Arabidopsis thaliana: one gene and its partner. The protein of the gene in region 2 interacts with the protein of the main gene of each other region in a biochemical or structural test. Each region holds a gene or a part of one and is shown on either strand. Other genes may lie near its edges. The genes, in order: SYP41 and VPS45.

What was found.
Region 1: the proteins of VPS45 (region 2) and SYP41 form a complex in vitro, tested with the Arabidopsis thaliana proteins (one study listed by BioGRID).

Annotation. Positions count from the first base shown.
Region 1 is NC_003076.8:9,484,266-9,496,464, reverse strand, and holds SYP41 (syntaxin of plants 41), read left to right. Parts: upstream 1-5,372; 5' UTR 5,373-5,860; coding exon 5,861-6,060; intron 6,061-6,244; coding exon 6,245-6,521; intron 6,522-6,620; coding exon 6,621-6,710; intron 6,711-6,943; coding exon 6,944-7,015; intron 7,016-7,111; coding exon 7,112-7,186; intron 7,187-7,303; coding exon 7,304-7,369; intron 7,370-7,461; coding exon 7,462-7,542; intron 7,543-7,633; coding exon 7,634-7,741; 3' UTR 7,742-8,332; downstream 8,333-12,199. Other genes in the region: AT5G26990 (Drought-responsive family protein), read right to left, coding at 2,826-2,934, 3,185-3,447, 3,768-3,845, 4,123-4,265, 5,024-5,099; AT5G26970 (uncharacterized protein), read left to right, coding at 9,079-9,405; AT5G26960 (Galactose oxidase/kelch repeat superfamily protein), read left to right, coding at 10,316-11,557. UniProt on the Arabidopsis thaliana protein: Contributes to the regulation of secretory and vacuolar transport pathways in the post-Golgi network, and to the maintenance of the Golgi apparatus and trans-Golgi network (TGN) morphologies. Together with VTI12, required for membrane fusion.
Region 2 is NC_003070.9:28,979,492-28,992,966, reverse strand, and holds VPS45 (vacuolar protein sorting 45), read right to left. Parts: upstream 9,034-13,475; 5' UTR 8,805-9,033; coding exon 8,715-8,804; intron 8,579-8,714; coding exon 8,377-8,578; intron 8,283-8,376; coding exon 8,203-8,282; intron 7,926-8,202; coding exon 7,698-7,925; intron 7,571-7,697; coding exon 7,445-7,570; intron 7,335-7,444; coding exon 7,251-7,334; intron 7,181-7,250; coding exon 7,039-7,180; intron 6,935-7,038; coding exon 6,756-6,934; intron 6,539-6,755; coding exon 6,383-6,538; intron 6,145-6,382; coding exon 6,037-6,144; intron 5,952-6,036; coding exon 5,830-5,951; intron 5,709-5,829; coding exon 5,577-5,708; intron 5,347-5,576; coding exon 5,286-5,346; 3' UTR 4,932-5,285; downstream 1-4,931. Other genes in the region: AT1G77150 (Pentatricopeptide repeat (PPR) superfamily protein), read left to right, coding at 1-91; AT1G77145 (transmembrane protein, putative (DUF506)), read left to right, coding at 1,677-1,790, 1,878-2,079, 2,323-2,789; PGSIP2 (plant glycogenin-like starch initiation protein 2), read left to right, coding at 11,739-11,791, 12,021-12,790, 12,868-13,475. UniProt on the Arabidopsis thaliana protein: Involved in the protein transport to the vacuole, probably at the level of vesicle fusion at the trans-Golgi network (TGN) and not in transport from the TGN to the prevacuolar compartment, by promoting the recycling of vacuolar sorting receptors back to the TGN.

The DNA of each region.
Region 1 (12,199 bases), on a different chromosome or scaffold from region 2:
ATTTCTGAACCTCCACTTTTTTCTTCTCTTCTTTCAACTTTTACACTAAAATTAGTTTTGCACTATTTAACTACATGTCATCTCCCCCATAAATAGACAAAAATATTGAATTATTTTCCATGATCTATAAATATGCTGTTATAAGATTTTAGCTAGTGGGGATAATAATATCTACATTGCATGTATTATTATCATATCTTTTAGAAGAAAAAAAATCAAGAATGTCTCTTTATTGACATTGAAAATACAGAAATCTAAGTACCAACTTTTAAAAATGAACATGACCCTTTTTGCCAAACACAGTGAACACACCAACCTGTAAAAGTATAGCTTTGCTTAGATAGATAGTTTCTTTTGATATATTTATGATTATGTGTGTGTGTATGTATACGTTTTAGTGGTCCAATTCAATGGATCTTAATAATAAATGGATTATTGCATCCGAAATGGGACCGTTTATTACTAATTTTGTAACAATTAAGACCCTTAAGTGCATAGTTTTAAGTTGAGGCAGTTATTAGCTCTTTTGGGGGAGAATTTAATCAAGTTAATTAAATTGCTAAGTGGAAGAAATCATTTCATTTGCTTCCTAATTAGTAGGAGACACAGACCAAACATCACTTTCACTAATGACATGTTTATCTCTGTTTAGATATCTAAGGGTGTTACTTAGTTACGATATACATAAATAGATAATAACAATGCTTAGCATAATTATTAAAGATTGGACACAAGACGACAAAAGAGGTTAAGATGATAATGATTTGATGTACTTGGAAAACACTTTTGATTTGTTTAGGGCTTTGGAAAGGGTCCTCAAGTGTCTACTTTATCTTTGGGAATGGAACATTAAGAATAGTAAACAAGGTCTACTGTCTCTCCCGACGTAAACACTTTGGCCTTGAATAGATTGTTGTGGTAACATAACAGCGAATGTTGTGATAGCAACTAAGTGTCTATCTAATTGACTATATAATTATTTATAGTTTTAGATCAATACTAGTAAGATTATAGTTCCTTGGATTGTAAATTTTGGTATTTCCAACACTTTAAAACGATTGCTGGATCTTTAAAAATCAATTGGATGACACAATGCTTGAAAGAAAATGGTCTATTAAGTTCTCAAGTTCGAGTGGAGCTTCCAAACAAAGTGCGCCTCAAGGTATCAAGTTCGAGTTTTGTTAGCGGAGAAAAGACTAATTAACATGTTATGGTCTCCAACCCAAAACTCGAAACATCTTGGTTACAAAAACAAAATGCACATACTAAAAAATAATATAGTTCTCACTATTAATATCCGGCTCAAAGAAGTGTTTGAGGCAATAGGCAAAATGTACACACTACTCTTTCATATTCTCTGAACAAATTCTTATATCAATCAATCAACAAATCTATACAACTCTCTTAATTCTCATATTTATGGATATGGGCTAGAAATATAAGGTTGCCTCTTCTTCTTCTTTTTTTGGCATAACGTTTTGGGGGATAATTTAGTATTAAGACTTCAATGCAAATACATTGCTTAAAGTTCTACTAGATGTTTTGTCTTCGTAGAGGTCAGGAGATCAACAAAGACAGAAAGAACAATAGTAGTCAATACGAAAATATATTGTGTTGTCACTCTTCCGATTCTGAATTTATTCTGTGGTCATCAATATTGAAGTAACAACAACTAAACAACTAACGCAGACATTGACTGGGCCTAGAACATCCGGCCCATGTGTACAACAAAAAAAACTCATGTAGTACGTTGTTGGAAACCAGGAGCTTAAAAAACGACGATGTGTTGACAAAAATAGTCCCACATCGCTTAGATCCAAAATAATGACAAGGGGACGCAGAGTATATATAGAGAAGCAGACGTTTCGAGCAAATTACTTACCTGGACGGGGTCTACTCGCGATCAACAAGACGAGTGGCCTAGGCTAGTGACCGCATTGCACATACCGTTGGGGTGCTATGCCTAAGGTCTTCCCTTGAGGAGGATCCTACGTCATTATTTGTGGCAGAAGGGGTTTGCGTTCGCGCAGCCCCTACCATTCAATTAGTCTCAATCTGTTATGCCTTAGGTTAGAAACCTGTTTTCAATATGGACAAAACAGAAATATCAGGAACTCAAGTGACGACGTGTACATTATATTGTTTGGTACACCAAAAAGTCCCACATCGGAAGCATATATTGGCTTCATAGGTTTTGCTTGGCTATAAATTAAGAGGCTCTCACTCTGTAGAAAGTCATCTTTGCGCTTGGGGCAATGACGCAGCTAATGAGGTCTTAACCGAGGCGCGTCTATTGCTGGTTGAAAACTATTTCCAAACCCCCTCCTAGGCCTAAGCTTGTCTTGGGCCTTCGAGAATTTCTGGAAGAGCTCCCTTCCGGGTAAAGCTCTACAATTCTTAGTTCAATTTTTATCCTTTAGGTTATGTCCTTGTCTAGTTGGTTGGTTTACACATTTTTAATTTGTCAAAACCGAAAATTAAAACTCTGCGATCTTTCTAACCCCAAATAGTTTCATCAAACTTTTGATACAAAACACCATAGTAAGACCAGAAAACTCAGTGCAAATATATGATCAAATACATACCTTTTTTTGGTTTCTTTTTGTAAGACCTACGGTGTACAGACAATTCGAGTGTTCATTAAAGCAAATATGTAGTTCATAAGTTAAAAATAATACTCATTATCATGTCTCTCTTTTACATTATTCTGCTTATTCCCAAACCCTTTCCCAAATCAATTGTTGCGTTTAACACAACAAAGCCGTTACATTTTCCAATCGCTGAATCATCTAACCGTAGACAAGTTACCGGAATATGTTTCTCCTTTATAAGCCGTCTTCAAGAATCATAGAGCTCAATATCCCTTGAACGAACTCGCTCTGTTTCAACTTTTCTCTGTGATCCTCTGCTGAAAGAGACTGCTTCTCAACATTCCTGTATAAGACAGATCAAGACAAGAACCATCATAACAAACTCTGCAATTTGCATTTCTACAACAACAACAAAAAAAACACTCAGATCACAAGAGCTTTTAGGTTATTGGTAAAACAAGGGATCAACTAAATTCCATTAAGGCTCATAAAAACTAAGGATGAGTAATATGCGATGACTTAACAAGAATGATCAAGAAATCAATGAGGATATCATCCAGAAGTGTAATCCAAATGAGAATGTGGAAGCATACCTTTCAGGCAAACTCTGATTCAATGTTTTCTTGGCAGAACTTGTGTCTGCACATAGACTTGACTCAGAAATGAAAAAGTCATCAGCCATTGGTGAAATGAATGAAGACAGTAAAGGATCAGCAGCTATACTGGCAGAAGAAGAGGATACAGCACGTGATGTTCCTTCAAATAGGCTCTGAAAATTTCCATCAGGAAACTCTCTCTTCAAGATCGATAGCATGGATTGAGCCCCGCCTCTTCTTGATTTCCTTTTCCGCGTCACGTAATATTTTGTTAAGGAATGTAACTGTTAGAGATAAAATCTTTATTATGATAGTAGAAAAGATAGAACAATAAAGCAACAAGAGTATAAACTCAATAGAATCCTCCAAAGCTCTCAATTGCTTGGTTAGGTTTCACAAACAAAACCTAACCCTTACTTCTAACAGAACATAAATAAAAGACTCTAGGAAAAGTAAATCCTAAACTATTTCCTAAATCATAAATCAGGAAGTATTCATATCATTAACACAACTCATTGGAAGAATCAGATAAGTACATGATCGTTAAAAATATAACTGGTAGAGAGAGCAAAAAGGATATCTTGAACATATTTGCATGTTGTAGGGTTATATGAGCAATCATATCAGAGCTCACTTTCACCGCACAAATGGGACATACCTACAAGATTAACAATGTCAAAACGCAGAATTGAAAACAAATCTTGCTATTGTAGCAATAAACAAGTGTCCTAGAGTTGATTTCTTCTCTGAGGAACACTGAGTGGCAATTCCAAATACTATTTCGACGCATTTCATTAGGTTACTTTCACTTTCTTTATATCCAAGACCAGTAACTACTAAACATAGAACAGTGCTCTTACCAAGAATGATATGATGAAACAATAAATAGATTTTGATTCAAAACGAGAGAAAGGTAACATTGAGGAAATATCTACCCCATTTTTTGCATCCATAGGATGATCTTCATCAATGTGACAGCATAGAGAGACGATATCAAAATAGTCTGAACAGAACGGGCAAGCATACTCCTCCCTGAAGTCATCTTCTCCTTCTATCTCCTCAAACCCCAAGAAATTGTCTGCGTTTTTCAAAAATGAAGAAACTAGTCAAACACGGCCAAGAGAACATTCGAAAATGTGACAACTACAAAACAAAAGCCTAGAAAATAAAATGACAACTACAAAACAAAAGCCTAGAAAATAAAATGGGAAATACTAAAAACGCGTTCCATTCTCGAAGTTCCAATACAAATGGGTTTCAGAAGAAACATCAAAGATATCTAAATAAACGAATGGAAACTAGTAGATCATAAAACCTTCCCTGGCAAAGACGTCTAAGTTTGAGATGAAACTAAAGCTTTTAAAAACGTTTTTACCAACAAGAAGTTTTGTATTTACTTGTAAGTCAAACAAGAATCATCAAGATTCCAGCTTTTGACATTAAGTTCATACCAAAACCTAGAAACAAAACACACACGCTTAATCAATCCCTAAAGCCTCACATTAGTAAAATGCCTCAAAAGACAGAATTTATTTCCTCCATTTTCCTTAAATTCAATATCAGCAAAACAAACATTTGAACAATCACCATTTCAAATATTCAGAACAAGACACAATCAATGTCTTGTCCCATTTTGTTCGGAAAACCAGAACAGTAACAAAAATGTCAATCTCTTACAGTCAATCTCGATCCTTGATCAATTCAAAAGAAAACAAATTTGAGGTCTAAATATCATTGATATTTTTGCAATAGAATCAAGATTAAATTTAAGACAAAACCAATCAAATCTCAAATTAAGAAAGAACAAATCCAAGTTATAATTTTTATCAAACTCACCAGATCGAGACAAGAAATCGAGCTGATATCTTCTTGAAGCCGATGCGAGACGATCACTCCAAGAATCAGAATCCATTTTTTCTACGAAGATTATTACAAATCGAAACCAAAGAATCCACTTTTTCAACAACAACAACAAAAAATCAAATAAATTCCAAGAATCCGAATTGATCTTGAGTCCGGATAAAACAAAAACAGAGATATTCCGATTCAAGAATCAAAAGATTCCGACGAAATGCAAAGACGAAGACGACGACGACGATTTTGCGTCTTTTTTTTCTGGAATTCGTCTTTTTATCTTCTTTTTTTATTATGGTTTTTAATTCTTTGGATATAGAGAGAGAGAGAGAGTGAAAGACATAGAAGAGATGAGTTCTATTACATGTATTAAATTGTTTTTTAACAGCCCGCACGAATGCATGCCGTTTAAACCTTTTACCCGCCGTGTTTTTCCCTTTTGGAATATCAAAACGTCATGCTGTTAGTACGACGCTTACGTGTCGAAATATTATTGGTTTGTATTTGGTAAGCTGGTGAAACAGGACAAAGTTAGCCGCGCAACTGTTTTTTAACTTTTTTTTTTACTGTTTCCAAAGTTTTAAGTTTTGGGGAAATAGTGAAAAGTGAAAACCTCAATTTGCAAATCTGAGAGTTTACTTTCCTCATCGGAAAAAGTTTTGATCTCGCCGCTCTCCGAGCACTTCCTTGTCGGAGTCCCAATTTTTGTGTTCGGTTTTATTCTCGGTCGATGATGAAGCCGCGATTGTGTTCAGATCGGAGCTGATTTCGAATTTGGATGTGAAATTGAGATTCTAGGGATTTCAAATTTTGACGATCATGGCGACGAGGAATCGTACGTTGCTGTTTAGGAAGTACAGAAACTCTCTGAGAAGCGTCAGAGCTCCATTGTCGTCATCTTCATTGACGGGAACACGATCCGGCGGCGTTGGTCCGGTGATCGAGATGGCGAGTACTTCGTTATTGAATCCGAATCGCTCTTACGCTCCTATTAGTACCGAAGATCCTGGAACTTCTAGGTACTCTTCTCTCTCTTTATCAGTGAAAATGGTGAACAATTTGATCAATTAGGGTTAACTGGAAATGATTAGCTTAGCAATGAGAATGATAATACATCATTGATAGTGTAGTTGAAGTAAATGTCTGTGAGCTACGTTAAGCTGAGAGTTAGTAGTTACTGAGATATTTTTGGTCATGTTTTAGTAAAGGTGCGATAACAGTGGGCTTACCACCAGCTTGGGTTGATGTCTCTGAGGAGATATCTGTGAATATACAGCGTGCAAGGACTAAAATGGCTGAGTTGGGAAAGGCTCATGCCAAGGCGTTAATGCCATCGTTTGGGGATGGTAAAGAAGATCAACATAATATTGAGTCTTTGACACAGGAGATAACTTTTCTATTGAAGAAGTCTGAGAAGCAACTTCAGAGGCTTTCTGCTTCAGGGCCTTCTGAAGATTCAAATGTTAGGAAAAATGTGCAGGTAGTTTTGACTTGATGGAAGCTGCTCTTAACACATTTCCTTTCTTTTTGCTGCATTTGCCATTGCTATCTAAGATTTATCATGTGTGTTTAATAACAGCGGTCTCTTGCCACTGACCTCCAACTTCTTTCTATGGAGCTTCGCAAAAAACAGTCAACATATTTGAAACGCTTGAGGCAGCAAAAAGAGGTATGAAACTATTATCTATTTTAGTGTAATTGGCATTTCTTATACCGGAAACTATGTGATGTTGCAGTGTCTCATTCTTTGAAGTTTTTGTTTGCTTTCTGCTCCTCCGCCTCAAATGAAACTTCTTTACATCGATTTCATAGATGATAGATTCTTTTAGTACTTGTTTTTTCAGAGTATATTATTCTGTCCTCTCAAGAAGCTTTGACTTGAAATGTATTATCATTTATCAGGATGGGATGGATTTAGAGATGAATCTGAGCAGAAACAGATATAGACCTGAAGAGGATGACTTTGGCGATATGGTTTGACTCCTATACCTGTTTCATTCTATCGATTTAAAGCAATCATTCGTCTTATGTCTTCTTTATTGATGGAATTTTTTCTCGATTCCTTTTTAGTTAAACGAGCATCAGATGTCAAAGATAAAAAAGAGTGAAGAAGTATCTGTAGAGAGGGAGAAAGAGATACAACAGGCAAGTGCTTGCACTACGTCTTTGTTCTTAGTTGTTTGTAGCTCACCAACGTTTTTTTTTTTCTTTTGCAATCAATCATAATCTTTTTTCTTCTTCGTTGTCTGTGTCATTGTCCAGGTTGTAGAATCAGTAAACGATCTTGCTCAAATTATGAAGGATCTTTCTGCACTTGTGATAGATCAGGTTAAACTTATTTAATCCCATATTCTCTTTGTCTAGCTTTTGAGTCTTCTTCCTTTCGAAAAACAAACTCAAAGCAACCCGTTTAATTGCAGGGTACAATAGTTGATCGGATAGACTATAATATCGAAAACGTCGCTACTACTGTTGAAGATGGTCTCAAACAACTACAGAAGGTAAAAATAGTGTTCTCTCTTCAACATTAATGTCCAACTATTTGTTTGTCCCAATTCTAAATGAAGTGGATCGCATAAAAAAACTTCACAGGCAGAGCGAACGCAGAGACATGGAGGTATGGTGAAGTGCGCATCCGTGCTTGTCATCCTCTGTTTCATCATGCTGCTACTCTTAATCCTCAAGGAAATATTCTTGTGATCGGATACTATAATCCCTGGTTAGATCAATAAGAAAAGTTCGATCCTTAACTATTTCATTCTTTAGCCCCGAACATCGCATGTTTTCCTTCAGGGCTTTTGGTTTCAACTTCTTTGCATTTAACAATACTAAGATCCTTTGCAGAGTAGTTAGTACGTAATATTATTGTGTAGAAGAAGACCATAGATAGTCAGAGGTCGATGTCTGAGGAGTTGAGAGATCTGTGCACCAACGCCAAAATACTCTCTTCACGCTAAAGTCAAGTGTTCTTTTAAAATGTATAAGATTCCAGTCATAGTTGTTGGAACTTGTTTTTGACAAAATGGTTTTGACCATTGTAACTTGTGGATTTTCCGGTGAAGACGTTCATTGGAGTGACCAGATTTCGGGCAAGATGGAATCGTAGCTGCGAGCACTACATGGTGGAGTATTCAAATGTGAAAACGAGTTTGTTTGAAATCTTTTACTTTCCGGTTATTGTATCTTCGCATAAATTACAAATTCTCAACATTCTAGTTCTTTTAAAAACATATATCATTTACAAATGTATAAATATTTTTCACTTGAAACAATGAAAACTTTATACACGTTTTTGTGATGAGTTAATATGAATTAAATTACATCTCAAGTTCTCAACTCTAGTTTGAAATTGGTCATGCCAAATAGCCTAATTGAACTTGTATTGTTATTGTGTCATTATCATGGTTCAAACCCATATTATAATCATACTGTTGACAAAAATTATAATTTTAATATTAAATTTGTGTTATTATTTTTGTAGATAATTAGCTGGAGGGTTTTTAAAAGAAAAATATAAAAAAAAAATTAAATAATGATTATATCAGCGCTTAAAAAAGATAGTATTATCCTGGATAGCACATTATTTTTTTTATCTGTTTCTAATGATTCTTTAAATTACCTTTAAATATAATAAATTACATATCTAAGAATTTTTTAAAATTTATGATAATATTTTATCTTTTTTAAATGTAGCATGTATATAATAAATTTAAAACTTATATTATATATAGTGCTTCAATAAAATCCTTGAACATGTATAACCAAAAAAAAACCTCAAACAACATGTGCATGGATGTTTACCAATTATCATTTAAAATATAGTTATCTTATTTACAATGGATGTTTACCAATTATTGGTTATATATTTATTTACAAAAATAAAATGAAAAAAAGTAGTTGATGGTTTTAGTCTTTTTTTCGCAATAGGGATAATTTTATTGTTTAAGTCAAATATTACATGGATTATGAAATACCCCAGAACAAAAAAGCTACAGAAACATATTAGGCCCAACTAAAGCCCAACAGAGAAACCGTCTATGGAAGAAGAAATATTATCTTTTGTCTCTATCCAAAGCCACGTGTCTTCTGCTGGAGAGAAACCAATACACGTACTGGATGAGAATCCAAAGTTTTCCCGACTTCATCCTTCGCCGTCAAACATCGACTCCGGTGAAGATTCAACGTCGATTAACAAATCAAACATGGAATCTTATGGGTTTTCACCGGTAAAAATAATCGAAGCCCTAATTAGAGAAACAACAGCTCAAGGTAATGTTAATATGCAACGGAAATCACTTTTTTTTCCAACTCAAATCTCTGATTTGTTTCCTGCAATTCTAAACTCAAAAAGAAAAACAGGTTAGATAATAAGTAACAAAAAGCGAAAACCGCTCTATCATTATCACCAACACATCTCAAATGAGATTTATTGAAAGCAAAGCTAATTTATGAAAAAACAAAAAGCAGCAAAAGAACGCTGACGGCATAGCCGACCATCATCACTGTGAAAGCTGAATGATACCGGACAAGAGCTGGCCAACACCGGAAAGAACTGGTAATTGCCAGACGATAATCCCTATCAGAGAAGACGGTAGCCGGAAAAAAATTCGGACGGCAAAGTGAGTTTGAGGTTTCTCTCTCTCTGAAAGAATTTAGAAAGAGAAGAGAGAGAAAAAACTTTGGTACTTAATTAATTATTTAAGTAATTAATTGATGATTTTAGTTTGTCTTGGAAACATACTTAAAACCAAAAAAATATGGAAATGGATTGTAATTTGTCTTGGAAACATACTTAAAACCACTCAAAAAACTAGATTTCCTGTTTTTTTTTGGAGAAATGTTTTTGAAAAACCACAATCATTTAAGGCCTTGTAGTTTTATTGCCAATGGAGTATGAGTTACTATCAAAAATTGAAAAACAAGTGAAATTCATATCCTTTTTAGTCTTAGCTGTATAATTTTCTGCATGGCCGGATCTAGTTAGTACCTAATATAAGTTAAACTATACAAAGTTATAGTTAAGATTACTTCATTAATTATATTAAAAGAGGATTAGTACTTTAGTAGATAACCCATAAACGAAAGCTAAGTAGTTGAATTTGCATGTGTACGTATATGGAGTATAAAGCAGTATGTACTATTTATTTATTTAGTGCATAGTCTTTTTACTTTCTTAAATCACACTTCCCTCTCAACTCCGTAACTCCCACAGATATAATAATTTATTTTATTTTCATATCTTAGAATTAAATTTGTTCTCTGAAGATAATTCTGATGTCAGAAAACTGCAATTCTCGCCATTTCTCATGGCTCATGAAATCTTGTTTACCAAATCCCTCCGACGCCAAATCACTAGTCCAGATCCACCAACCGTCGTCCACGGCGGCGAATTCTTCAGCTACAATCGCTTCTCTACCTGACGATTTACTCCTCGAATGTATCTCAAGAGTCCCTTCCTCTTCAATTCCTTCTCTCGCCGTCGTTTGTCGCCGTTGGTCTCGTCTCCTCCACTCTCCTTACTTTCTCCATCTCCGTCGTCGTTTAGGTTTGCTCCGACATTCTCTCTTCGCGATATCCACCGTCGATTCAGGACTTTTCGCCGCGGATTTGCAGTTTCAGTCCGAGATTGCGTCGTGGAAAGTGTCTCTTGCGGTTTCGAGTAGGTCTGTTGGCGTTGACGGTAGTTATGGAAGTTTATCTCATGCTCGCGCGGCGGCGATTGGACCTAGGGTTTATGTTGTTAGTAGAAATGCTGTTTTGAGATACGATTCGTGGATGGGAACGCTTAATTTGAGATCTCCGATGATTTTCCCTCGGAAGAAATTCGCAATCGCGGTTGTTTCTGGTAAGATCTACGTTGCTGGAGGTGGTGGTGGTTCGGAGGTTGCGGCGGCGGTGGAAGAGTATGATCCGGAGTTGAATCGGTGGGAAGTTGTGACTCAATCGGCGAGGAAGAGATACGGTTGCATCGGAGCAGCCGTTGACGGAGTTTTTTATGTGATCGGTGGATTGAAAATTGGGAATGAGACCTCACGCGCGGTGGCGGCGCGTGCTTATGCGAGCTCTATGGATCTTTTCGATGTGGAGTCGCGTCAGTGGTTAAGGAGTCGTTCGGTTCCTGGTGGTGGATGTGTAGTGGCGGCGTGTGCGGCGGTTGGATATGTGTATGTGCTAACCAGTCACGCGGTGGAGCTTTCGTTTTGGCGATTTGATGCGCGTCGTCGTGGTGGAAACAGCGGGTTTGGAGAATGGCAGAGGCTGAAAAGTCCGCCGTTACCGGCACAGGTGCGGTTAGATGGAACGGTGAGGTTTAGCTGCGTCGGAGTGGAAGATAAAGTGGCGGTGGTTCAGGTGGTGGGATGCATTGACGATTTGCTTCGGCGGAGTGGGAGGGGTGAGAGAGGGATTAGAGAAAGCCTTGTGTTGCTGTATGATACGACGGAGGGAGAGTGGAGGAGAGCGGCGGATTTACCTGAGATGATTACACGCGCCGCCTGTGCGTGTGTGGAGTGGTAAGAGTGGAGACCACGGCGCAGGATTATGGGTACGAGAAGTTGGAAGATGCCAACGTACGCAGGATATATTAAAGTGGGCAAAAACAATATCATTATGATTGGTGCACATGTTTACTGTATGAAAAGCAATAGCGTCTTCTTGAGCTCGTAACCTTATTGGCTATTTTTATTTCCCAATCAAATCTTATCAGTAATTATTATATAAGAAAATATTTACTACAACGGTTAGATTGATATTAGTGAAATGGAAATAGGATCTAATTTATATTTTTCTATACTAATAAACTATAAACAATTATTTATAAAAAATAGTGCAGACAACCAAGATTTTTTTGCTGACCTTAATTAAAATATTAGTAAAATATGTAGAATTTTTTTTTTACAACGGTTAGATTGATATTGGTAAATGAAAATCAGATCTAAATTAGATTTCCTCTCTGATATCAATCATAAAATGGATTTTATTACACGTGATCAGGAAAAAAAAAAGAAGATTTTTATTACAATTACTGAAAAATGCCAACGGTTAGATTAATTAATATCATCATCATATAATGAAGAAAAGATACTCTAAAGAAAAAGGAAATAAAACCCACAGCTCAATTTGTCTCTCTTGGTTTAGTAAAATCAATATCAAATATTA
Region 2 (13,475 bases):
GTGGAAAGATGTTGAGAGAGTTAGGAAGTTGATGAAGAAGAAGAAGGTTGCTAAGATTCCTGCCTATAGCTATGCTTCAACGACAATTTGAAAATATATGCTTTCGATACTTGTCTCTCTTCATGTTCGAACAATGTAACATCAGGATAATTTTTCTAATTAGATACTTAATCCTTCTATTTTATTCACTCATTGAGAAACAGCACCTGCAGATATAACCAAATCTACAAAAACAAACATACAATGCAAACAAAGTAATCTAATTATTAGATGATCTGTATAACATTTAATTTTAGTAAATTAAGTACCTAAATAACGAATTTGGGAAAGTTTTCTAGTCATTTTCGACATCATGATCATGTCAGAGGGGTTTAAAACTCGATTTAACTCCGCTAATTTCAGGAATCCGGTTTAATGTGTTCAATTTCCGGTTTACTGATTTCATTTCGGAAAATAAGAAGGTAGGACCGAATTTCAAAGCAAAAATTATACAAATAAAGAAGATACGGTCCACACGCTTTTAGCCCGTCTTAATTCCAACAATTGCAAGTTTAAACGAGTTATTATAGCCCAATACGAAAATTTTAAATTCCATGTGACTAGAGAGCATCCAAATCAAAACGCTGTAAATCATCGGATTATTAGCTACCGTCACTCGGATTATTATTATAATTATCTTAGAGATTCAATATCGTCATGCTAATATTTTATCTTGATAAGTATATATATATGCGTGTGGTATCGTCGTATAAGACAAAATCTATTAAAAGGTTATATAAGATGGTTTAGCCATCAATGAACAGACAAAATTGATTACGAGATAACCTTGCTTCCAAATATGTGACAGTGAGTTTGGATCGATGGTGAGCCCATTTCGATCAACATTATAGTATATGCTATGACGTGCATATCTATCTACTTTGATCGATAATTCAATAGACACAGATAAAGTATTGAAGAAACATTAGTCTCGTGAGGGTTTTGCATTTTGGTTTTCTGTTGAGTGTTGACATTGTGATTTTACCAAAGACTGAGGGATCGGTCCAAATCAACGAAAAATAATATTAATTTTAATTTCTTTGAATAATATGAATATATCTTCTATATAGACTCCTGATCAATTAATATTTCATTTAAAAAAAAAAAAAACTAGTACTATTTTTTGTGTGATTAGACATAGTGAAATTACCACTTTATTAGATATAACATTCTAAAACAAATTAAAATATCAAAAAATATTAAATAAAAATCAAGACTTACGAATTGAGTTTAATCTAAAATATCCACGTATACATAATTATAATCTCAAGCATCGACTATGTGGAATATACGACAAGTGGAAAATGACATGAAACGACTTTTTATACAGTCGCGTATGACATCAAACGCAAAGTAGTTTGTATTTCGAAGAAAAGGGCAAAAAAGAAAGAAAAGTCACGACGCAAACTCATGTTATCTAAAACATATAAGCTAATACAACAAAACATTAGAAAACGAATAATAAAACAGTTCATTTAATAATGCAAATGACAATGGATAAGATTATGACACACGTCACTCAGTTATATTCATAAAGAGACTCAACTGCATAATAACTTTTGCCCTCACAACCTTTTTCTCAAAAAAAAAAAAACCTAGAAGAATAGGAAGAGACACAGGTGAAAGAACATTTTGAGATGGGAAGCTTGGGAGAAGAAGATTTAGAGAAGCTTGTGCTCGATTATATCGAGTCTCCGATCACCGTCTCCCAGCATATTGAGAGTTCTACAACGGCTCTTATCACTCTTAAGGTCTCTACATATCTCTTTTCACCAAATACATTTTCTCTTTTTTTTTCTGGATAAAAAGGTTAAACCTAGCTAGAAATATTTTTACAGGAGATTCTTAGGGCAAAAGGAGAAAAAGAGAAGGAGATGGAAGAGAAGATATGGTCGTTTATCAATGGAGGAAGGTTATCATATGAAGGAGACGATGAGAAGAGAGATGTGATGAACAAGATTGTCTCTAAACTCAGATCTGAAGGCTATGATGCTTCTCTCTCCAAAACCTCATGGGACTCTTCTTTTGATCATCGTGAAGGTAAACAACACACTTTCAAAGAAAGATAATATATATGAATATCTAGAAAGATCCATATAAAAACAACCTTTGACCTTTTCCTTGACTATTAGATAACAATGGGAAAGTCTCTATTTCTTTACTTTTTTGGGTTTTTTTATGATAAGTTATTTATTTGTGGGTTTTTGATAAGTTATTTATTTGTGGGTTTTGTGATGATAAGATATTTATTTGTGGGTTTTGTTTGTGAAAATGTTGTTACAGGGTGTAGAGTGTTTAGGTGCTCGAGGAAGTATGAGTACATTGACGTCATGGTGAAGGGTGATAGCAACCGTGATGGCGTAAGCAAGCTGAAACGTGTGATAATTGATCTTGACTTCAAAACTCAGTTTGAGCTAGCGAGACAGACAGAAGCTTACAAAGATATGACTGAGATGCTTCCATTAGTGTTTGTGGCGACAGAAGGGAGACTGAGAAGAGTTGTTTCGTTGGTTTGTGGTGAGATGAAAAAGTCCATGAAGAAAGAAGGAATGTCTAGGCCTCCATGGAGGACTACGAGATACATGCAGTCCAAGTGGCTACCAGAGAATCGTCGAAGAGTCTCCGGTTGTAAGAAAGGTTCTTGGTCTTGGTCTGTGTTTGATGATGGTAGTGAAGGAAGAGGTGAAGCTAGGACTTGGACAGTAAGTGGTAGTGGTCCGAAAACTAAGTGTTGTTTTCCTATTTTCTGAGAGGGATGCTGAGAGGGATGCGCAGCGTTTTCTTTTTCTTTGCTTATCAGTTTTTAAAACTTAAAACTTAAAAACATCGGAGTTGTTTTTTTCGTATGATTATTCCTTTTTGGGGGTGTTCTTGAAATTTTTGAATTGCTTAAAAAAAATGTTGGGCTTGTTGTGTCAGGTTTTTTTCTGATGCTATCTATATTGCATCTTCTACTTGTATCAATAGCCGATGGATTACTCTATAATATGTATTTTTGTCGTGATGCAAATTTCCATTTAAGTGAGACGGTAAACTAAAGCTCTTTTGGTTTAAGATTATACTATTTGATTATGGTGGATAATACATTTGATACGAAGACTACTTCTTTGAAGATGCTGAATTAGATAAATACATTTTTATTCATTTTGAATGTTTATCTCCTATATATGGACCATGGTTATATTTTGGTTTAAGGTTGACATGTATTGTAGTCCTAAAGATTTAGATGAATTGTAGAACAACATTTTCTAAAAGAACAACATAGAGAGTTTAATTAACATGTGAGTTGAAAACTAAAACGACAGAATTTAATAGTCGAATAATCGAAATTTTAGTACTAGAGACTCTTATGTAGAGTGTTTTTTTAGCGACAAAAAAAGAGTGTTTAAAAAAAAAACGGTTATAACGTTACAAAAAACTGATTTGAATATAATATAATAGTGTATAATGAACCTTTTTTATAAGTAACATGAATGTTACTGAATATACAAAATTACAAATTAACATAATTCATGAAAAGTAAAAGTGATATATTAGATTCACTATAATTAGATCAGTGAAAAACATTCAATATTTTCTTAAAAAGTTAAACTTCCTTTTTTTTTGTAGTAAATTTTTCTTTCAGAAATCAAAAGAATTTGATTTAAATGCTCAACCTCTAAAACCCTCCAGCACTGACTTTTCATGAAAGTTGGGATGACAAATTTTCCAATTTAGCATGAATTGCATATTTGCATTCGTTGTTGAAAATGTAACCAATTGGTAATTTTCTTACGAATATCTAAAATCAGAATCATATGATAAGAACGATGAGGTGTATATATAAGACCACAGACAAAATATCTAAAGTTAAAACTGTAATTAATTAATAACCAAACCATCACTTTCAACCATATGTACTTTGATAAGTAATCTCTCCTTCTTCTTTTTTGTCTTATCTATTTCGTCACGCTTTATTCTTTCGAATTTAAATCCGTGGTAGTTTGCTAGAAACTTCGGCTAAGCACACAGTAATCAAAATTCAAAAAGTCAGATAACTAATTAACTAAGAAATTATGCATTATCTAGTTAACTTAAAAATTATATACGTAATCGAATTGAATAAATAATAAATAAAGAGAGGAGACAATTTAGATGAAGGGATCGAAGAAACAGAGAAGGATCTAGTATAGTCAATAGTTTTAAAATTTGATATGAAATGGACAGTCAGAGACTGCTTAAGAGCTAAGCAGAAAGAAAGAGATGTATGTGAAGAACTTTTCTCGAGCTCCTCAATTCTTTAATTGTTTTTATTACTGATTTGACGTTTTAATAAAACTATAGCAAAAATTACCGCAAGACGAATATTTCTCAAGAATGAGACTTTTGCTAGTTGACTTCAAACAATTTTAACCCCTCAAAATCCAACTTGATAGAGGATTAAATTGCACATAATCGCTTTGTTAAAAGTATGAAATTTGGATGTAAAAGTAAACCTAATGATTTTTTTGGAATGTATAGTAAATATATACTATTATGTTGTAATGGAGGGTTTCTGTGAAGTGTGTATGTGTGAAAGAACAACAAGTAAAAATGCTTCCAGAGCAGAGACAGAGAGTTGTGTCAGCTTCGCTCTCACATCATATTACGACATTTGAGAAATCCAACGGCGACAGTAGCCGAGCTACATAAGATACTCCATATATACTCAAAAGAGCTCTGTTTTTATGTTTTCTCTTTGATTGTTCTCTTTCCCAAATCGGTACTTACTTTTGATTGACGTCAGTCAGATTTTACTCATTACTAATTTACTATTATAAAAGTGATTTTATTCATTATTATAAAAGGGAGTAGTAAACTAGTAATATTTCAAAAATTCCACATATGATTTTGTTTTTTAAGAGTAATAAAGATTTTTTGTTATGAAATCTCTCTGGTTTTTGTCTAAAGTGTTATTATAATTTTGAAAAAGATTATTAATTCTGTTTTGTGCAATTATGATAGAGGAGTAAAATTTCCTCAGGTTACATTTTCTTGATTAGCCATAATTGTGTAAGAAGAACGGTCCAATTAAACTGTACCACGATGAATACACACACAAACCCCAAAAATTAAATCTCTGGTGGGGTAATCATCATCATGTATACGAAAGATTCGACGAACCTGACCACAATCTTCTTCTTTCATTTGTCTCTTTCTTCTATGTGCTCCCCGGAAGAATCTTAAGACTTAAAAAATAATTTACACAAAATTCTTTTGGATCTTCTTCACACCATATGGCTACCTGATCTTGATATCCTTTGTGCTTCTTCCAAGTCCTTTAGAAATCTGTCACAACCAAATTCACTTTTCAGCTTACATTTCTCTTATAATACACTTTCATGAACTTTGTAGACCAATTTAGATTCCTAGTTATTATTTAATTCAAACAGCAATTTCGGTTTGGGCCTTCTATGACTTAACCAATGTTGATATTTTAGTTGATCAGTGCTGTTTCGACCTAGAACTCAAAACCAATCGAGGCTCATTTGCACACACTGTCTTAACCTCAGCATTACCTCTTGGAATTAAGCACTGCGGTGCCGCCGAGAATAAACCGAACCCCGGAGTTGGTGGCATTCTGTAGAGCAACAGAGCGTGATTCCTCGTATGTTGTTCCACCAACCATAAAAATAACCACCTCTTGTGGCCTGTTTATCCAGAAATTTTGCAGTTTTTGATTAGTTATGTAAGTTTTCACGAATTGCAGAAATCTGTAACTATCAAACAAGTTACCTGTTTTAAGAAATTGAAAAAATTAGAGGCACATACCGTCCCTGTTGAAAATGATCTCCAACAAATGGGTAATCCACATCTCGTAATCTCCCTCTAGTTATGCTCTCCATTGTTTGAAACAGAAGAGGCTGATGTTGAGTGTAGACATTCTCAACACCCTGTATTTTTCAAGATGTCAGTAACATGACATATATATAGGGAGATATAGAATGTTGCTGGAGACGAGTTAACTCAGATACAGACCTTAAGTCCACGAGCCATGTTACGTGCTATATTCAAAAGATCTCTGTTTCCAAATAGATCACCAGTGCGCTTCTCCACACCGGCTTGTTTCAAGAGAAATTGAACTAGCTGCAGTTGCATGGCAACCAGAAAGTTATAACATGATTTGAGGGTACTTTTATCAAGTTATTCAAAAATAAAAACGAAAAGGTAAAACTACTATGGACGGAATTGCAGATAGGTTAACAAGTATAGTAGTAGCAGAGGGACAGATCAAAATCAACCTTAAAAGAGATGCAGAATAATAAAGCCACAAGAAAGAGATGCAATTTAAACTGAAAGGAAACAGATGATAGTCTGACTGTACCCCTGGTTTGTACTTGGGAGACCGTGAAGCCAATTTGTTGAACAATTGCATCAACTGAACAGGATTTTCTTTCTCATAGCGCAAAGCATATAGCATTACCAAACGCAGCCGGTCGATGTCAGACACACTTTCATTATTTAAGAGATCCGTAACTGCCTGCAAATAAGCATGAATAGAGAGTCAGAGCTCCGTGCTTACAGCAGAGTCTGCACAATTTTGCATATTTCGCTAACTTCTGCAGGTTCACTGGATTACATTCGCATGAGACTCCAAATTATTGAATGCCAAATTATTCAGTAAGAACTTCTGCAGGTTGTAGCTATTTTTTAATATATGCGACTACAAGTGAATGTTCACCACAGATATTCACTACCTCATATGCAGCTCCTTGGCCACCATTGCAAGCCAAGTCCTGCTCTGTTTGTGAAACCGTCATCAGTTTCCTTGCTTCAACTAGCTTGCTCATTTCAGTAACCAGAGTTACATGCTTTGAAACGTTGCCTTGCATCTTTTTGTACTCAGGGTAGTTGTCAACAAATCTGGCCATATCCTCTGTACAACCAACGAATTCACAGATATATAATTGTCACTAGCACGAGAATCTGTTGTTACAAAAGTTTTTGCAGAGAATAGTTTAAGACTAGCCATATTTGTACCTACTGTCTGGATATTTTGGTTACTCTTGGCCACCTGCTGAAAGTCATCTACCATTCGCTTGATGTTCATTCCAATATCCCCAAAATTTTCATACATGTTAGATTTGAAAAATGCATCTTGTTCTGATGATAAAACCACCTCCTGCCAGGATAAGAGACATATTAGCTGTAAGGTTCTCAACTAAAAAACAATGGCATTGGAGAAAACTAACCACTTGCTGATCTTTTGGAAGACTTCCAATGGATTTCAAGTCCACTTTATTATCTTGAAGTCCTATGAGTTCGTGCACCATTGCCTACAGAAAATCTCGTTAATTAGTAAGTCGTAGTCTTACAAAAAAGCAAGACAGCGGGAGGCACATCTTATATCATAGAGTAGCACAATAATTTTGTTTAGTCAAGTTACCTGATATGTCCACTGATTCAGCAATGGGGTAACCGGGTCATCTCTTCTGTCAATTACAAGTAGCAACGGAGAGCTTTCAGTCCGTCTAAAGTCAAAAAGAGCGCTTTCATGCTGATACATCAATTTCTGAAACATAAACAGCGAATTTTCAGACTATTGGATAGACACAAGTGGGAATTAGTTCCATCACATGCATGCAAAATATAGCGGGAACAAATAACTTTACGAGAGCTTGTCAAACAACTTCACTTACAGCTGTTTCGTGTGCAATCCTTTTTGCAGTATCAGAGGTCCTCTGATATCTGATGACAGGTCTTCGTTTCAACGCCAGAAACACTGCCGCAATTCCATCAACAACCCGATCGGAAAAGCGTTGCAAACCAGAGGGATCGACAACTGCGGGGATCATATATAGATGATTTGATGCCATATTCAATGTGAAATGATATGGATCACCAGAAACAAAGTCTGCATAATACTCCTGCAATATAAAAAACCACAAAGACTATGTTAAACAAGCCATTATACAGTACTATGCCGAGTGCACCAAGCAATATAAGTTTAAATCAGAAAACTAAAGACAGGTAGGGGGGATACTAAGCTCCACAAGTATGGCCGTTTCATCACAAACCAAGCAACTTCTCAGAGACAGCTAAAAATCTATACATATATTGATCCATCATATAGGCTATGAAACATTCTTTTAGCATTAGCCTCCTATTCAAAAACATCATGGATGAGGGAAGTCTAAAAATCACCTGAACTTGCTGTACAACTTCCTGCTCATCGGAATCAGCCAAAATATGAATCTGAGTATCCTTCAACAGATTGGAGAAAACTGAAAGAATTCATAACAAAAACAACATCAAATTTTGTATATTGTGAGTGAACAATGATAAACTCGAAATAGTTAGAAGATGAAAAAATCATACATAAATGGTATTCTCCAAATCTAGGATTCGCAAGCTGGTATCGTAATTTCTGAATATTATCTGAAGTTGGACGGATGAAATAAACAGCTTTCAGATGTGACATCGATTCTTTTGACACAGATATTGAATCTATCATCTCCACCAGAAACACTTCTTTCTGAAGCAGCTCTGACTGTGAATACACAATGCTTACATTGCTAACCTGCAAATTCAACAATTAATCCAATAAACAAGTAATCACGAAGATGTGTTTCCGGTTACAAGGGAAATTATGAACCACGATTCCAGAAACAAATCAGAGAAGATTAGCAATCGAAGAAGACGAGATCGGACTTTACCGTTTCGGAGTCGAGTATGAGAACCTTCATGCCGGAGATGTCCTGAAGCATCCGGTTAATGTAATCACGCACAGACGTAACCAAAACCATCGTTTCACCGCAAAATTCTGCTACTGTTACGACGTTGATTCAGATCTACGGCGACTAATCTGATGATTCTTGTTAACAATAACGCTGGCGAAGTGATTTCGCGTTCACTTTCAGATCTTCCTTTCCTTAATCGAGAAAACTAAAAGGTCCCCAGACTCGTCGACTCATACGAAGAAAAGTGTTTTTGCAAAACAAACCCTATATTTTATTGGTTATTCCTCTTTTCAACACAAACTTAATTTTTGATTAACTGAACCTAATTTGAGGGTTTATTTATTAAGTAATAAAACATCAGGGTTTTACAAAGGAAACATCTAATAGATCAGGATTTTTCCGCAAAAAAATTCAAACTTAACATTGACCCATCGTGTTGATTTTGTTCCGATCCGTCCGCTAATATAATATAATTTGGATTAGCGTCAAAAACGTGTGATTATTGTAATGCTCGATGCATCCAGCTTCATGTAGTCTCTCACTCAGGAAAGTCAAACTTAATATTCTTACAGTGAGAATGAAGCTCTCTTCTGAAAGTCCCATGGCGCCGTCAAGTCAGTCAAGTCATCGACTTTACATTTCCAGGTAAGTCTTTTTCTCTTCTACTTCATCAGTTTCTTGAGTTCAATGGAAACTACTTTACCTAACTTAGGGGAATCAGATAGGATCATAGATCATGAGAGCAATGTGGTTGAGTATGTGCATTACAGAGATCTGTATTCATCTGTTGGCTTGACATAGTGCATTTGTTTTACATATATAGTGAGAAAACAAAAACGAAGAGATTCCAAAGAAACGGATACACTCTCGATGTTGAAATGTGTGTCAACTTCTCTAGTCTGAAACTTGTTTTGTTTCTTATGATGCTGGTTGCTATGTTCACACTCTACTGTTCTCCACCGTTGCAAATTCCTGAAGATCCATCAAGTTTTGCAAACAAATGGATACTAGAACCTGCTGTAACCACAGATCCTCGCTATATAGCTACATCTGAGATCAACTGGAACAGTATGTCACTTGTTGTTGAGCATTACTTATCTGGCAGAAGCGAGTATCAAGGAATTGGCTTTCTAAATCTCAACGATAACGAGATTAATCGATGGCAGGTGGTCATAAAATCTCACTGTCAGCATATAGCTTTGCATCTAGACCATGCTGCAAGTAACATAACTTGGAAATCTTTATACCCGGAATGGATTGACGAGGAAGAAAAATTCAAAGTCCCCACTTGTCCTTCTCTTCCTTGGATTCAAGTTCCTGACAAGTCTCGAATCGATCTTATCATTGCCAAGCTCCCATGTAACAAGTCAGGAAAATGGTCAAGAGATGTGGCTAGATTGCACTTACAACTTGCAGCAGCTCGAGTGGCGGCATCTTCTGAAGGGCTTCATGATGTTCATGTGATTTTGGTATCAGATTGCTTTCCAATACCGAATCTTTTTACGGGTCAAGAACTTGTTGCCCGTCAAGGAAACATATGGCTGTATAAGCCTAAACTTCACCAGTTAAGACAAAAGTTACAACTTCCTGTTGGTTCCTGTGAACTTTCTGTTCCTCTTCAAGCTAAAGGTCAGTGACTCAGTAGTAAGTTTCTTCGTCTTTTGTATCAGCTAAATTTGACATCTCTATTCTCTCCTCCTAAGCTGATTATGATTCAATTGCAGATAATTTCTACTCGGCAAATGCCAAGAAAGAAGCGTACGCGACGATCTTGCACTCAGATGATGCTTTTGTCTGTGGAGCCATTGCAGTAGCACAGAGCATTCGAATGTCAGGCTCTACTCGCAATTTGGTAATACTAGTCGATGATTCGATCAGTGAATACCATAGAAGTGGCTTGGAATCAGCTGGATGGAAGATTCACACATTTCAAAGAATCAGAAACCCGAAAGCTGAAGCAAATGCATATAACCAATGGAACTACAGCAAATTCCGTCTTTGGGAATTGACAGAATACAACAAGATCATCTTCATTGATGCAGACATGCTTATCCTCAGAAACATGGATTTCCTCTTCGAGTACCCCGAAATCTCCACAACTGGAAACGACGGTACGCTCTTCAACTCCGGTCTAATGGTGATTGAACCATCAAATTCAACATTCCAGTTACTAATGGATCACATCAACGATATCAATTCCTACAATGGAGGAGACCAAGGTTACCTTAACGAGATATTCACATGGTGGCATCGGATTCCAAAACACATGAATTTCTTGAAGCATTTCTGGGAAGGAGACACACCTAAGCACAGGAAATCTAAGACGAGACTATTTGGAGCTGATCCTCCGATACTCTACGTTCTTCATTACCTAGGTTACAACAAACCATGGGTATGCTTCAGAGACTACGATTGCAATTGGAATGTCGTTGGATACCATCAATTCGCGAGCGATGAAGCACACAAAACTTGGTGGAGAGTGCACGACGCGATGCCTAAGAAATTGCAGAGGTTTTGTCTACTGAGTTCGAAACAAAAGGCGCAACTTGAGTGGGATCGGAGACAAGCTGAGAAAGCGAATTACAGAGACGGACATTGGAGGATTAAGATCAAAGATAAGAGACTTACGACTTGTTTTGAAGATTTCTGTTTCTGGGAGAGTATGCTTTGGCATTGGGGTGAGACTCAGACCAACTCCACCGTCGCTGCTGATTCTTCCTCCACCGCGTAAAACCGTACTACTGTGTGTGATTTTCGTTTTCTGGTTAAAATTTATTCAAACATTAGAGTAGGGGTTAAAATAACAAATACCTGATAAGTAAAGGTTCGTTTTGCAAAACACGGACTTCTAAAAATCTCATTTTCCTAATACGCACCGTTTTGTGCCTTGGTCCAAAATCAAATTAATTTCTCCTTCCCAAATCCCTAAAATGTCTCGTCTTTTGTTGTTTACCAGGCGATTATGAAATTCTCGAAACCGACCCTGGTCTTACGGAGACGATGATACCTTCCTCAAGTCCCATGGAGTCAAGACATCGACTCTCGTTCTCAAAGTTAGTCTTCGTCTTCTTCTTCTTATTCTTCATTAGTTTCTCTAGTTTCATGAACACTACGTACTATTCTTAGTTAACTTAGTAGCTTCACACACATGGTTGACTTTTCTGGAAATCAGATCTTCGATTTTGTTTTTGATTCAGAAATGTGTTTCACAAGCGATCTATGTTTATCTATCTGTTGGATTGACATAGATAATGACTCATTCGTTTGTTTTGTTGTGTGTAGTGAGAAGACAAGTAGGAGGAGATTTCAAAGAATTGAGAAGGGTGTCAAGTTCAACACTCTGAAACTTGTGTTGATTTGTATAATGCTTGGAGCTTTGTTCACGATCTACCGTTTTCGTTATCCACCGCTACAAATTCCTGAAATTCCAACTAGTTTTGGTCTTACTACTGATCCTCGCTATGTAGCTACAGCTGAGATCAACTGGAACCATATGTCAAATCTTGTTGAGAAGCACGTATTTGGTAGAAGCGAGTATCAAGGAATTGGTCTTATAAATCTTAACGATAACGAGATTGATCGATTCAAGGAGGTAACGAAATCTGACTGTGATCATGTAGCTTTGCATCTAGATTATGCTGCAAAGAACATAACATGGGAATCTTTATACCCGGAATGGATTGATGAAGTTGAAGAATTCGAAGTCCCTACTTGTCCTTCTCTGCCTTTGATTCAAATTCCTGGCAAGCCTCGGATTGATCTTGTAATTGCCAAGCTTCCGTGTGATAAATCAGGAAAATGGTCTAGAGATGTGGCTCGCTTGCATTTACAACTTGCAGCAGCTCGAGTGGCGGCTTCTTCTAAAGGACTTCATAATGTTCATGTGATTTTGGTATCTGATTGCTTTCCAATACCGAATCTTTTTACGGGTCAAGAACTTGTTGCCCGTCAAGGAAACATATGGCTGTATAAGCCTAATCTTCACCAGCTAAGACAAAAGTTACAGCTTCCTGTTGGTTCCTGTGAACTTTCTGTTCCTCTTCAAGCTAAAGGTTAGTAGCAAGTTTCTTCGTTTTCAGTCTCAGCTAGTTCTCCCCTCCTAAGCTGATTATGTTTATTTCAACTGCAGATAATTTCTACTCCGCAGGTGCAAAGAAAGAAGCTTACGCGACTATCTTGCATTCTGCCCAATTTTATGTCTGTGGAGCCATTGCAGCTGCACAGAGCATTCGAATGTCAGGCTCTACTCGTGATCTGGTCATACTTGTTGATGAAACGATAAGCGAATACCATAAAAGTGGCTTGGTAGCTGCTGGATGGAAGATTCAAATGTTTCAAAGAATCAGGAACCCGAATGCTGTACCAAATGCCTACAACGAATGGAACTACAGCAAGTTTCGTCTTTGGCAACTGACTGAATACAGTAAGATCATCTTCATCGATGCAGACATGCTTATCCTGAGAAACATTGATTTCCTCTTCGAGTTCCCTGAGATATCAGCAACTGGAAACAATGCTACGCTCTTCAACTCTGGTCTAATGGTGGTTGAGCCATCTAATTCAACATTCCAGTTACTAATGGATAACATTAATGAAGTTGTGTCTTACAACGGAGGAGACCAAGGTTACCTTAACGAGATATTCACATGGTGGCATCGGATTCCAAAACACATGAATTTCTTGAAGCATTTCTGGGAAGGAGACGAACCTGAGATTAAAAAAATGAAGACGAGTCTA